Linked DNA regions of Mus musculus: all the other regions are reported to be linked to region 1. The links are microRNA targets in miRTarBase. Many come from high-throughput screens and were not tested one by one. Region 1 holds a microRNA gene; each other region holds the end of a gene's coding sequence.
Evidence for each region. The annotated mature microRNA mmu-miR-297c-5p reads AUGUAUGUGUGCAUGUACAUGU and lies in region 1 at 2,055-2,076, opposite strand. An mRNA with a match to its seed (bases 2 to 7 or 8) in the 3' UTR can be bound and repressed. Matches are read on the target gene's strand: a 7mer-m8 pairs with bases 2 to 8, a 7mer-A1 pairs with bases 2 to 7 and ends in A, and an 8mer does both.

Region 1 (4,251 bases):
AGTAAGCACACATGCACATACATGGGTAGCATCACAGAAATACCAGGATGATCTCCAACTGAAATTAAGCATGGATTTGAACTCCTGATCCTCCTGACTCTGTGGTTTACACCTGGTGATTGAGACCATTCACTGTCCCACTACTGCATAATCTCTAAAACTCTAAGTCACCTATCATTCAGATGGATCGATGAGTGTCATTCCTGTGTCTCTGTGTGTGTGTGTGCTTGTGTTTATATGTATGTGCATGTTATGTCTATTCATATACACACATGCACATGTACACAAAACTATACACCCATGCACATACATGGGTGGCAATCACATGAATCACAGGCAGATATCTATATCCTCCTGAAGATAAGCATGAATTTGAACTCCTGATACTCCTGATTCTAGCAAGCATTTTTACCTAGAAAATGACAGCACTCACTGGCCCAGTACTGAATAATTTCTAATATTCTAGGTGGCATATCATATAAATGGATCTATGAATGTTATTCGTGTGTGTGTGTGTGTGTGTGTGTGTGTGTGTGTGTGTGTGTGTGTGCACGCTAGGGTTTATATGTCTATGTATATGTTATGTATATCCATATAGACACATGAACATACACACACAACTATACAAACCTGCATGTACACTTAAGGCATCACATGAATCACAGGCTTATCTCTAAATCATGCTGAAGATAAGCATAAATTTGAACTTCTGATACTCCTAACTATAGTAAGCATTTTCACCTAGAGAATGAGAGCACTCACTTGCCCCATACTGAATAATCTCTACTACTCTGAGTGGCATATCATTTAAATGGGTCAATGAATGCCATTCCTGTGTCTGTGTGTGTGCTTGCGTTTATACGTGTGTGTGTATGTTATGTATATTCAAATATAGACATGAACATGCACACACAACTATACACACATGCACATACATGGAGGAATCTCAGGCTGATCTCTCATGAGGATAAGCATGAATTTAAACTCCTGATACTCTTAACTCTAGCAAGCATTTTCACCTAGAGAATAAGAGCACTCACTGGCCAAGTACTGCATAATCTCTAATATGCTAAGTGACATATCATTCAAAGGGATCGATGAAAGCCATTCTTGTGTCTCTATGTGTGTGTGCTTGCGTTTATACGTGTATGTTATGTATATGCAAATACATGCATGAACATGCACACACAACTATATACACATGCACAATCATGGGGCCATCACATGAATCACAGGCTGATCTCTAAATCCTCATGAAGGTCAGTATGTGTTTTAACTCCTGAATACTCTTAACTCTAGCAAGCATTTTCACCTAGAGACTGAGAGCACTCACTGGCCAAGTACTGCATAATCTCTAATACTCTAAGTGACACATCATTCCAATGGATTGATGAGTGGCATTGGTGTGAGTGTGTGTGTGTGTGTGTGTGTGTGTGTGTACTTGCATTAGTGTGTGTATGTTATGTATATTCAAATACAGACATGCACACACAACTATACTCACATGCACACACATGGGCGATATCACATGAATACCAGGATGCTATCTAGCTGAACATAGGAGTGAATTGGAACTCCAGATCCTCTTGACTCTTTCAATCGTTTACAACTGGTGAGTGAGACAATTCACCGTCTCTACTTCAAAATCTCTAAAACTCTAAATCACTTATCATTCCAATGGATCGATGAATGGCATTCCTGTGTCTGTTTGTGCACTTGTGTTTACTTGTGTGTGTGTGTGTATGTTATTTATATGCAAATACACACATCCACACACAACTATACACACATGCACATACATGGAGGCATCACATGAATGCCAGGCTGATCTCTAACTCATCATGCCGTTAACATGAATGTGCACTCCTGATCACCCTGAATCTAGCAAGTCTTCTCCTGGTGACTGAGACCTCTCTCTGTCAGCCCCAGTCATACAGAATCTCTAAGACTCTAAGTCACTAATTATTCAAATAGATGGATGAGTGCCAATTTTTGTGTGTTTGTATGCATGTTTGTATGGGTATGTGTGTATGTATATGTATATTCATATACACACATGTACATGCACACATACATATACACACAGGCATATATACTAGGGTCATCACAAGACTCCGAAGCTGATCACGAACTCATCATGAAGTTCAGCATGAATTTTGATTCCTGGTCATCCAAAGTCTGGCAAGCAAGCATTTTCACCTTGTGAGTGAGAGCACTCACTGGCCCAGCCCTGCATAATCTCTAAAGCTCTGAGTCACCTGTCATTCAAAAGGATCAATGAGTGACATTCCTCTGTGTGTGTGCGCGTGTGTGTGTGTGTGTGTGTGCGTGCCTGTGTGTTTATGTTTGTCTGTATGTAGATGTATATTTGTATACACACATGTACATATACACAAAACTATACACACATGCACATATATGGGGGGAGGATGCCATGAGGCCAGGCTGATCCCTAGGTCATTTTGAAGTTATTCAGGAATTTGAACTGCTGATCCAAAAGGCAAGCGTTTTACCTGGTAAGTTAACTGAGACATAGCTCTGGCCATTCCTGTGAGTGAGTGTGTGTGCATGCGTGTATATGCATATTCATATAGAGAAGTGTATGTGCACAAAGCTATACACACATGCACATTCTTTATGGTCATCACATGAATAGCATGCTGATCTCTAACTCATCATGAAGTTAAACATGAATTTGAACTCTTGATCCACCTGACTCTGTGGTGTGAGACCTCTCCCTATTGAGTACTGCAGAATCTCTAAAACTCTAAGTCACATATCATTCAAATGGACTGAGGAGTGGCATGCGTGTGTGTGTCTGTGTCTGTGGATGGGTCTATGTGTGTGTAGGTATGTATATTCATATACACAATCCACACACAGTTACACACATATACACATACATGGGGACATCACATGATTCCCAGGCAGATCTCTAAGTCATCATGAAATAAAGCATGAATTTGAACTCCTGACCTCCTGATTCTAACAAGCATTTTTAACATGATGGGTGATAACTCTCCCTGACCTAGTCACACATAATCTCCAAAGCTCACAGTCACATAGATCAATGAGTGAGTGCCATTCCTGTGTGCCTGTGTGCTCATATGTGTCTTATGTGTGCGTGTATGTATATGGATATCATATTCACATATGTACATGTACACACACATAAACACATATACACATACATAGGGGCAATCACATGAATGCCAGGATGACCTCTAACTCATCATGCCTTTACCATGAACTTGCACTCCTGATCTTCCCGACTCTACCAAGGGTTTTCCCGTGGTTTGTGAGACCTCACCCTGGCCCAGTCATACATAACCTCCAAAGCAGTAGGTCACATATCATTCAAATGGATCCGTGAGGGCCATTCCCGCATGTCTGTGTGCATGTGTGTGTAGGTGTGTGTATGTATATGCATAAAATATACACGCATATACATGCGCGCACTTATGCACACAGGCACATACATAGGGGCCATCACATTATTCCAGGATGATCTCTAACTGCTCATGAAGTTAAGCATGAAATTGAACTCCTGATCCTCCTGACAATGCCAATTGTTTACACCTTGTGAGTGAGACCATTCACTGTCCTTCTACTGCATAATCAGTAACATTCTAAGACATATATCATTCAAATGGATCGATGAATGCCATACCTTGGTGTGTGTGTGCTTGCTTTTATACGTGTGTGTGTGTGTGTGTGTGTTATGTATAATCATATACACACATGTACATGCACACAAAATTATGTGTGCATGTACATACCTAGGGTCCATCACACGAATCCAGGATGATCACTAACTGATCATTAAGTTAAGCATGATTCTGAACTCCAAGACTTCTGATTCTGGCAAGCGGTTTTCATCTAGTTGGCGAGATATTTCACTGTACCATAAATATACACTCTATGAAATTCTAAGCACATATAAAACTTATGGATGACTGCCATGTGTTTCTGTATGCATGCATGTGTGAATATGTGTCAATATATGTCTTTTCATATATCCGCATGTACAGACAAACTTATCTATACACATACACAGAAACAATCACATGAATAACAGGCTGATCTGTAACTCATCAGGAAGTTAAACATGAATTTGAACTCTGGGACCTCCTGACGCTGGCAAGAGCATCCACCTCCTAACTGAGACATAGCTCTGGCCCAGCACTGCATAAGCTCTAAAGCTCTGAGTCACATACCATTCCAAAGGATATATGAGTGCCATTCCTGTGT
Region 2 (4,251 bases), not on the chromosome of region 1:
TCCTGTATGGCTTACATTCAATATGGTTTTCTTTTTTATCTGCTTCCCGCTTGTAGTGACTTCATAATATCTATATTCTCAGCACATACTACTTCTTATTTTGAAAGCATTACATGTTCTATTTCATTTGATACATAGTGAGATGGTCTTCTGACAAGTATTTTGATTATGTGGTCTTTGAATGTAGACCAAAAAAAATTCAAGATTTGTTTCCAGTTGAATAGATTTGGTAAGCCTGAAAAAAATATAAAAAACCAACTAGTATAAATTATTAAGTGTTGTAAGTCTTTTTTGACCCTCTAAAGATCAAGTTAATAAAAAATTAAGCAAGAGCTAATGTAGGTCCTTTTGACTGAATTCACCATAAAATCCATGGGTGACATGCCTTTGGTAAGTCTTGATTGTTCTTCACATGATCATTACCATTTAATCTCAAGGGGGTAGGCACTGTGCTGTACAGTAGCTCTCTTGATGGGCATAGATACAAAGGTCATGTTCAAGCGAACATAACTCTACCACATCCTACGTACACAACAAGATAGGACAGGTTTTTTTTCTGATTAAATATGTAAGTCTTGGTAATGGGCCATAGGAAATCCTGAGGTGACTTAATGAAGACTGAACAGGGAATAGAAATACAAAAGGCTACATATGACCAAATTGTGTATTTCCAAAGATAATGGGAGGAGTAAAACATGGCAGTTTTCAGTGAGGTCTAAGAGATCAACCTGTTGCTTTCAAACTACCCCTGAGCACATTTACTCAGGGCTAATGTCATAAATAATTCTGGAGAAGAGGGATGAATAGCTTGCATTACCAGGGATGGAATAAACAATAGTACTAGCAGAAAGAATATTAGGGATACATCAGAGATTTCCCCTATTATCCAGAGGACTTTTGTTAGGATGCTTGTGGTACAGAATAGGTAACTAAGGAGAAGGCTTTAGGCTAAATGACTTGCCTATTAATGGTATCTATTAATGGTGTCTGTCCCAACCTCATCATTCTATTCTAAGCCATTCCATCTCTCTCTATTTCATTTATGACCCTGTAATTCTCCATTGTCACAGAAGCCAAATTATTCTTTTAATTTAATTTATTCTCTCATATATTATGTCCTGACCACAGTCCCCCTCCCTTCATCTGTCCTCCCACCTCCTCTATCACCCCCATCTCTTTTCCCAATCTGTTCTTTCTCCTTTTCCCCCTCAGAAAATGACAGGCCTCCCAGGGATATCAACTAAACATGGCAAATTAAGCTGCAGTAAGATTAGGCAATGATCCCCCTCCCCCAAACTACCACTTGTGTTGAAACTGGACATGGAATCCAGTAGGAAGACAAGGGTCACAAAAACAGGAAGCCAAATTATCTTAATGGCACATAAATCAAATCATGCCACCCTTTGGCTTAAAAATCTTGTCCTCCATTACAAAAACATTAATTTCTCTTAGTGTTGCTAGGCTTTCTGTACCCAGTCCCTACTTGTCCTTTTGACTTCATAATCCACCACTATCATTATTACTCATTATTCTCAGCTCTCTAGGCTATCTGTTAGTTGTTCAAATATCAAAGAGCTCATATGCTACCATACTGGCTATTTTCTCTTATTATTTCTTTGGGTGCTTCTCCTACTCGGCTTCCTCTCAGATGCTATGTCCTTTGAGAGGGGTGTTCACCGACAACTGTGTCTAAGGTAGTCTCCATTCAAACAGCCTTGTTTTAATTTTTTAAAGTCCTGCTCTCAAAAGGCCGTTGGCTTATTTTCTTGCTTATTTATTAATTATCCCCTCCTAGCAGAATGTAGCCTCATGAAGAGAAGGTTACCCCTGGAGCTCCTGGACAGTACCTGGATGCAGCTCTGCCAAAGGACAAAGACATCTGATGTTGGGTTAATATACTTTTGGGGACGGAATATAATTAAAAAAAATATATGTATGTATATGTATTTTCTCATTCTCTCTCTCTCTCTCTCTCTCTCTCTCTCTCTCTCTCTCTCTCTTACCTATCTATCTTCCTATGTATTGTGTGTGTTGTGTGAGTGTGTGTACATCTACATGTGTCTAATGCTCATGTGTACTATGTGTGTGATGTACCAACAAAAGCCAGAAGAGGGCATCATAACTCCTGGAGTTAGAATTACAGGTGGTTGTGAGCTCTCTGGTGTGAGTTTTGGGAACCAAACCCAGGTCCACTGGAAAAGCATTAAGTGCTCTTACCTACTGAGCCATCTCTCCAGTCCCCAAATATACATAAAAACAAAAGAAAGACCAACAACCAAAAACACGCACTATATAGCTTTTCTTTTTCCACAAGTGTCATTAAAAAAGAAGCATGTCTCATGTCATGATCACTATTTCTGCTAAGCAAACAGTAAGTTTTCAGTAAGGAAAACTGAAAACCACCCAACATCTGTTGCCACTTTCCCAAGAACGTGTGAATGTCCTTCCCAAGACACACTTAAAGACATCCTGGTACACAAATGCATTCTGATCGAATTGATCTTTTCCAATGAATAGTTTGGCAAACATATAAAAATGACTTCAGAGGATCTGAGAGTGGCAGGAGGAGAACCCTGATTCCAAGCCACATGTCAATGGTGGCTGAAGGAAGCTTTAGACTGCTCATCCCAGAGATGTGTCTTTAATGGTAAATTTCTTGAAACGTTCTTCAGAGGATGAAGCGTTATGTGATGAGGGTGTCACTGACACATAGTAGGCACTTCGGGGGGGGGGGGACTTTTGATATTAACACATTTTTCTTCAGTTTTCTTGAAAATATCCACAAAACTGGATATGTATGTCACTGTGTTGTGCAGTGGGATTTGGGAGAAGGTAGGAGAGTCAGATAGAATTCCAACCCTTCAGTGTCTCACGCTGTGTTAACTGTTTGCTTTGCCATCGCACTCTTCATGTGCAACAACTTCTTAATCCACTGCATCTTTCTAATCTAAAGTAGCCAGGAATAGCACCATAGAGTAGCGCAGTTTGTATACTCCGTGAAAGTGACGACTAGCTAAGGGGATGAGTGGGGACTAGAATCACCTTGCCATTCATGTATAGATCTGGCAAAAAAAAAATAGCATTATCATAGTTTATAAACAGGCATCCTGGAGTTAGCAGGTACCTCTCCCATAGCATTATATTTTCCAAAATTATCTTCCATATGCGGAGACTGTAGCTGAATGACTCATGGAAACAGGACAACCTGTTTACTTTTTCGAATATCATCATCTTTCTTTCGGTTAATTGTCCTTGGGTGTTTACTATGCTTGGCAATTTTATGTTGGCTGACTAGGGCGACCGTTAGGATGTCAGGAGCGTGTACACGGGGAGGAGGAGGGTGAGTCTCACCTATGACATGTGGTTTTGTTGTGGTTGTTGTTGCTGCTGCTGTTGCTGCTGCTGAATGAGCAACTGCTGCTGCTGTCGACGCCGAGCTGTCCGCAGCTTCTCGAAACGAGCCTCCATCTCTTCCAGGACTTTTGGGGTGTATCTGACCACCAGCTTCACACTGTCCTTAGCAGCCTTGAGAAGTTCCACAGCTTTCTCATGGTGCTCCCCTTCCACACTCTGAGAAGACATGGAGAGAGTTCACTCATTTGTTTCCTCCAGGGACTAATCTAGGATTGTTATCCTAGTAAAAACCCAAACCTCTGACGCTTTTGTCCATAAATTCCAATACTTATAAGACTGAAATAGGAGAGTGGCTGAGAGTTCGAAGTCAGCCTGGGGTGCACTGTAGGCTTCAGGTCAGCCTAACATACGATGTGAAAACTGTATTTAAAAAAAAAAGTCAAAATCAAGGGTCTGGTGTTGTATGCCAGTTTGTAGGGTGCTTGCCTAACATGAAAGCTGCCCTAGGTTCTGTGTTCAATACCACATGCAACCTTGGTGGCAGATGCTAATCATGAGGCAGGAACATAAGGTGCTTAAGTCATATATATGGCTATATAGCAAGTTCAAGGTCAACCTAGGATACGGGAGATTGTGTCTCAAACATCATCATCATCATCATCATCATAGAAATAACCAGAAATCCCTTCCAACAACTAAACTCTATAAACTACAGATGAAGAATCCAAAGTCTGCAACTTCTAGAAGACATGGTAAATAAGACAATATCATCATCATTATTATTTATGTTCATAACTGAACTTCAGGGTGGTTAGGCCATATTAGGACACAGGGGGGATTAGATGGCTTGAGTTAGGGGGGTTTAAAGATGGCAAAGACCTAATATTAAATTAAATA
Region 3 (4,251 bases), not on the chromosome of region 1:
GGCTCTGCTATACCATATCTGTGATGCTGGACTGAAATCTGTGGTATTGAACTGGAAAAAACCTGTGTCTCAATTTGTTTCTATGGTATTTGATTACAGTGGTGAAAGAGTAACTGGTAGAGAAAGTTGGTGTGGGGGAGAGTGGAATTATAGCTGACTGTAATTAGGAAGAACTGACTTGTAGGAAGATGTAGAGAAGCTAGCTGTAGAACTCCAGAATTATGCAGACAGAACCTCTGGCAGAGAGCCGATGAGCCTTTAGATGGGAACAAGGTTTCTAGTAAGAACCCGACTAGAGGCCATTTGTGTTCTGTTGCTTACATTCTGTCCGTGCCCAAGACTATGGGAAGCTAGGTTTATTGGTTATTGACTAGGTAATCTGGAGCAGGAGAATTCAAGGCAGTCCATTATTCCAGCTGTGGAAAAGGCACCCCTGGCTGCTTTAAACTAGTTTTATAGGGAGAACTGGGAGCAAAAGAGCAGAGGAATGACCTGAAAAGCAATTTGGCTAGAAAAAAAGCATGTTTAAAGTTAAAGGTAAAGAATGCAAGATGTTTGAAGACATTAGGCTCTTAAAAAGAGCTCCGGGGCGTGGGGTGCTGGTGCTTTGTTGGGAGATAGTGCATTGAGGAAGCATTGAAGGCCTGGTTCTAGCTCCAGCACTGCATAAAAACAAATTGTGTATGGAGGTACAGCCTATAATCCTAGCACTGGTGGGCCGTGGGGTGGACAGAAGGTATAAGGGCTAAAGTTAACCTATAAGCCCCACCTGCCCAAGGACAGATAACTTCCTGAAATTCTGGGGGCTGTTGTTCTCATATATATATGCATGTCATAGATTTTCACTTCAATAAATGTGATTGGTTACCCCAAATGCACAGGACGTACTTGATCAAACGTAGGCAGGATGTGTGCTGGTTCTTGATTGGACAAAGGAAGAAAGTACTTTGCTTTGGGTTTGACCTTTATAGGCATCTGACTGACCTAATTCCGTGCCATTCTTTGGAAATCCCAGGTATGGACCTAGCCAGTGTCCATCTTCCTGGACAGTATTAAGTAAAGTTTACTTTAATTGGACAATCGTGGATTCGGTCTACTTGAAAATTTCAGGTTTAACAGAGAAACCAGAAGCTCAAGGACACACTTGGCTACATTAAGCGTTCAGTTCAAGGTCAGGCTAAGATACTAGAAGCTTTCAGTAATCCTTCCTGAATTCTTTGGGAATAGGAATGTTTATGTTATTGTATCATGGGACTATATAATGTGATATTAGCAGAGCTAATAAATAAATAAATAGCTAATTTATTAATAAATAAGTGTTTGCCCCAGCCTCTAGAGAAACTGTATTAGAGCTTTGGAGCACTGGGTGGGAGGGATTGAATCTTATGGTGTAAGATGTGTGGGAATATCATGTTGACAAGGAATGGACTTGTGATGGTTATTCTAGGTGTGTCTGTGAAGACTCTTCCAAAGATAACTAAAACCAGGCAGTGGTGGTGCATGCCTGTAATCCCAGCACTTGGGAGGCAGAGGCAGGCAGATTTCTGAGTTTGAGGCCAGCCTGGTCTACAGAGTGAGTTCCAAGACTGCACAGAGAAACCCTGTCTCGAAAACAAAACAAAACAAAACAAAACAAAAACCCCAAAGGTAACTAAGAGATGATGGCCTTCCTTGTATGTGAGTGACACCGTCACATGAGCTGAGTTCCAGATTGAAAAAAGGAGAAAGCCCACAACCACAGGCATTCTTTCCCTCCCCGCTTCCTTTCTGTAGTGTTGTGAGCAGTTCGTCTCTGCCAGGCCTCCCCAACATAATGGACTGAAACATCCGTTCAACCTTGTGTGTGGTCTTTTTTAGTACAGTAAGGCAAAAGTAAGTAATACGGGTATTATGTGTATAGAGCTCCAATAGGAAATATTGAAAAGGAGTAGAGATTTCTTTCAAAGGTTTGGGGAAGGAGAAAAATAGTAACACATGCTTCCAAGTGTTGTTTTGTTCAACTTTATTTTTCTTTCAAGACAGATTAGACTAGTAAGTAGAGTCATAGTTGGTGAAAATTCTAGAAAACAAGAGATCAGGAAGGAGATGGAGCATTGAGACATGGATGGGGAGAAGAGCAGAATGGGGTCATGGGTATTAGTTAGCTCTCTTCTTTCTCTGTCATCGAGGCAGCTCCAGTCACCTGTTAATAGGGAGCCTGGCTTTGTACTAGAATGGAAAGGAAGGGAGTTATGCGTGAGTCCAAAGTTAAGCGTGTGCTATGGAAGGATTATTTGATGCAGCCATAGGCATGTGGAGGAGAGATGCTGCCTGCCACCCCACCCCATGCCCAAGTTCCTTTACAGCTACTCAGGTGGAGCAGTAAGGGCCTAGAACAAGGGTGTCATGGTGTTCCTCCCTCCCCAGAGTTAACTCTGCCTCCTGCTCTGCTAAAGGGAAACGTATAGATGACATTCCTTTTAGAAAAGTTTCATCCGCTCTTAAGTCACACCTGTGGTTTCAAACTTCTTCTCTTCTGGTCCAGCTCCCATCTTCTGTTTACATATTTATTTTTTAAAAGAAACATTATTTATTTTATGTATGTGAGTACACTGTCACTTTCTTCAGTGACACCAGAAGAGGACATCAGATCCCATTACAAATGGTTGTGAGCCACCATGTGGTTGCTGGGAATTGAACTCAGGACCTCTGGAAGAGCAATCAGTGTTCTTAATTGCTGAGCCATCTCTCCAAGCCTACCTATTTCTTTTTGAGGCAAGGTTTCACTGTGTATCACTGGCTGGCTATCCTAGAGCTTGCTATGCAGACCAAGCTGGCCTCAAACACAGACCCATTGCCTGTCTCTGCCTCCTGAGTGCTGATGTAAGAGGCATGTACCGTGATGCCCGACCAACATCTTTTTACTTTTTAAAGAAATGTTCATCCATCCTTCCAGACTCAGGTCAAATTCTAAGATCTATCCAACTGTGGGAGGCTAAAATGAGTTTGTAGTACATTACTACATATGCAAATCAAAACCATTTTGTGTTGGGTCAGCATTTATTCCATAAGCATTTACCTTGCTTTCTTAACTGGCTTTTAGAACATTTGAGCTTGTGCATAGCCTATGTGTACTTTACAAAGATAAAAACATTCCCATTGAATGACTAGGCTAGCAGAAAGGGTTACAACTGGAAAAAACCTTATTATTTGGGTACATTTCCCATATCTTCAGTCAACATAGAGACCCCGAGCCTTCTAGAATAAAGCTGGTATTGGATTTTTCTATTTAAATCATTAATTATATATTAATTTTTTATCTCTTTCAAATCAAATGGTTTTGATTTGCTATGTAGTAATATACACTTCTCAGAATATTACATTTCAGAATAAAGACCTTATAAAACATTTTGTTATTAATAAGTTAGAATATTGAAAATATTACCCCCACCCTTGTTTTAGACAGTCTCAAGTAGCCCAGACTGGTCTGGAACTTGAATTGCTGATCCTCTTGCTTCATCCTGAGGGGGATATTCCATTTTTGGGGTAACATAATTCAAAATAGATGTGTGTATAGCTCATGTTCAAAAACAGAAGTGACGTAGCTTCTCGAAAGTTTTTTTGTGTGTGCTTAATTCTGTCATTCAAATAGTTTTCTCTCAAGACCCAAAAAAGCCAAGGCATTGCCAGCTGTAAGTTTATCCTGAAAAGAAAGAGAGAGAGGGGGGTGGGGAGACTTTATTTAAAAGCATGATTGGCTTGATAAAGCACTTATTAGATATCATCATTGATTTTTTTTTACATTTAGTGTGTGTTTATGAACATGCAGTGTGCACATACACTTGTGAGGACAGAGGATTTATACATCTAGTTATATTGCACTTATTTTAAGATATTATAGCGTTTGCTTTTAATAGTCTAGCTATTTCAGAAAGTGGAGTCATAGTTTTAGGAAAATCAAGTGTGTGTTCAGCTCAGGATGGGCTGGCTGGAGCCAAGGCACGTACCTTTGTTTCTTCATCAAACTCTGCCATGGACTCTATCAGCTTCCCAGGCTCCTGCTCGCCCAGAGGAAAGGGGTAATCAGTTCCCAGCATGACTTTATCCTAAAAGGAGAAAATACCATTTTATTTGTGAATGTGAAAACATTAAAGAGCCTTCCATACACTTAATTTACCTACCATATACACTAGTCTAGTAAAACAACATTTCCCCCTACCCCCCTCATTTTACTAGAAACAGAGCTGGTCTACAATTGTAAAGATTTCAAGG

Region 2: miRTarBase lists Lin7a as a target of mmu-miR-297c-5p. The part of its 3' UTR that is shown has no 7-base or 8-base seed match.
Region 3: the mRNA of Acmsd is a reported target of mmu-miR-297c-5p. Seed matches in the 3' UTR shown: 7mer-m8 at 2,578-2,584.

The regions. Positions count from the first base shown.
Region 1 is chr2:10,506,851-10,511,101 of GRCm38, reverse strand. It overlaps Mir297c (microRNA 297c), which reads right to left and starts at 2,086; the gene lies at 1,989-2,086. All of the region lies in intron 10 of Sfmbt2 (Scm-like with four mbt domains 2), which reads right to left. Mir467d (microRNA 467d) reads right to left here and starts at 3,472; the gene lies at 3,388-3,472. It overlaps Mir466 (microRNA 466), which reads right to left and starts at 3,184; the gene lies at 3,112-3,184. It also overlaps Mir669c and Mir669a-2.
Region 2 is chr10:107,411,272-107,415,522 of GRCm38, reverse strand. Lin7a (lin-7 homolog A (C. elegans)) reads right to left here. Exons shown (of 6, transcript NM_001039354.1): 5 at 3,352-3,570. The coding sequence ends at 3,352. Among named protein-coding and RNA genes, the nearest start is that of Myf5, 73 kb to the left of the region's middle.
Region 3 is chr1:127,765,714-127,769,964 of GRCm38, reverse strand. Acmsd (amino carboxymuconate semialdehyde decarboxylase) reads right to left here. Exons shown (of 10, transcript NM_001033041.2): 9 at 3,987-4,085; 10 at 2,401-3,682. The coding sequence ends at 3,620. All of the region lies in intron 1 of 2900009J06Rik (RIKEN cDNA 2900009J06 gene), which reads left to right. Among named protein-coding and RNA genes, the nearest start is that of 2900009J06Rik, 6.2 kb to the left of the region's middle.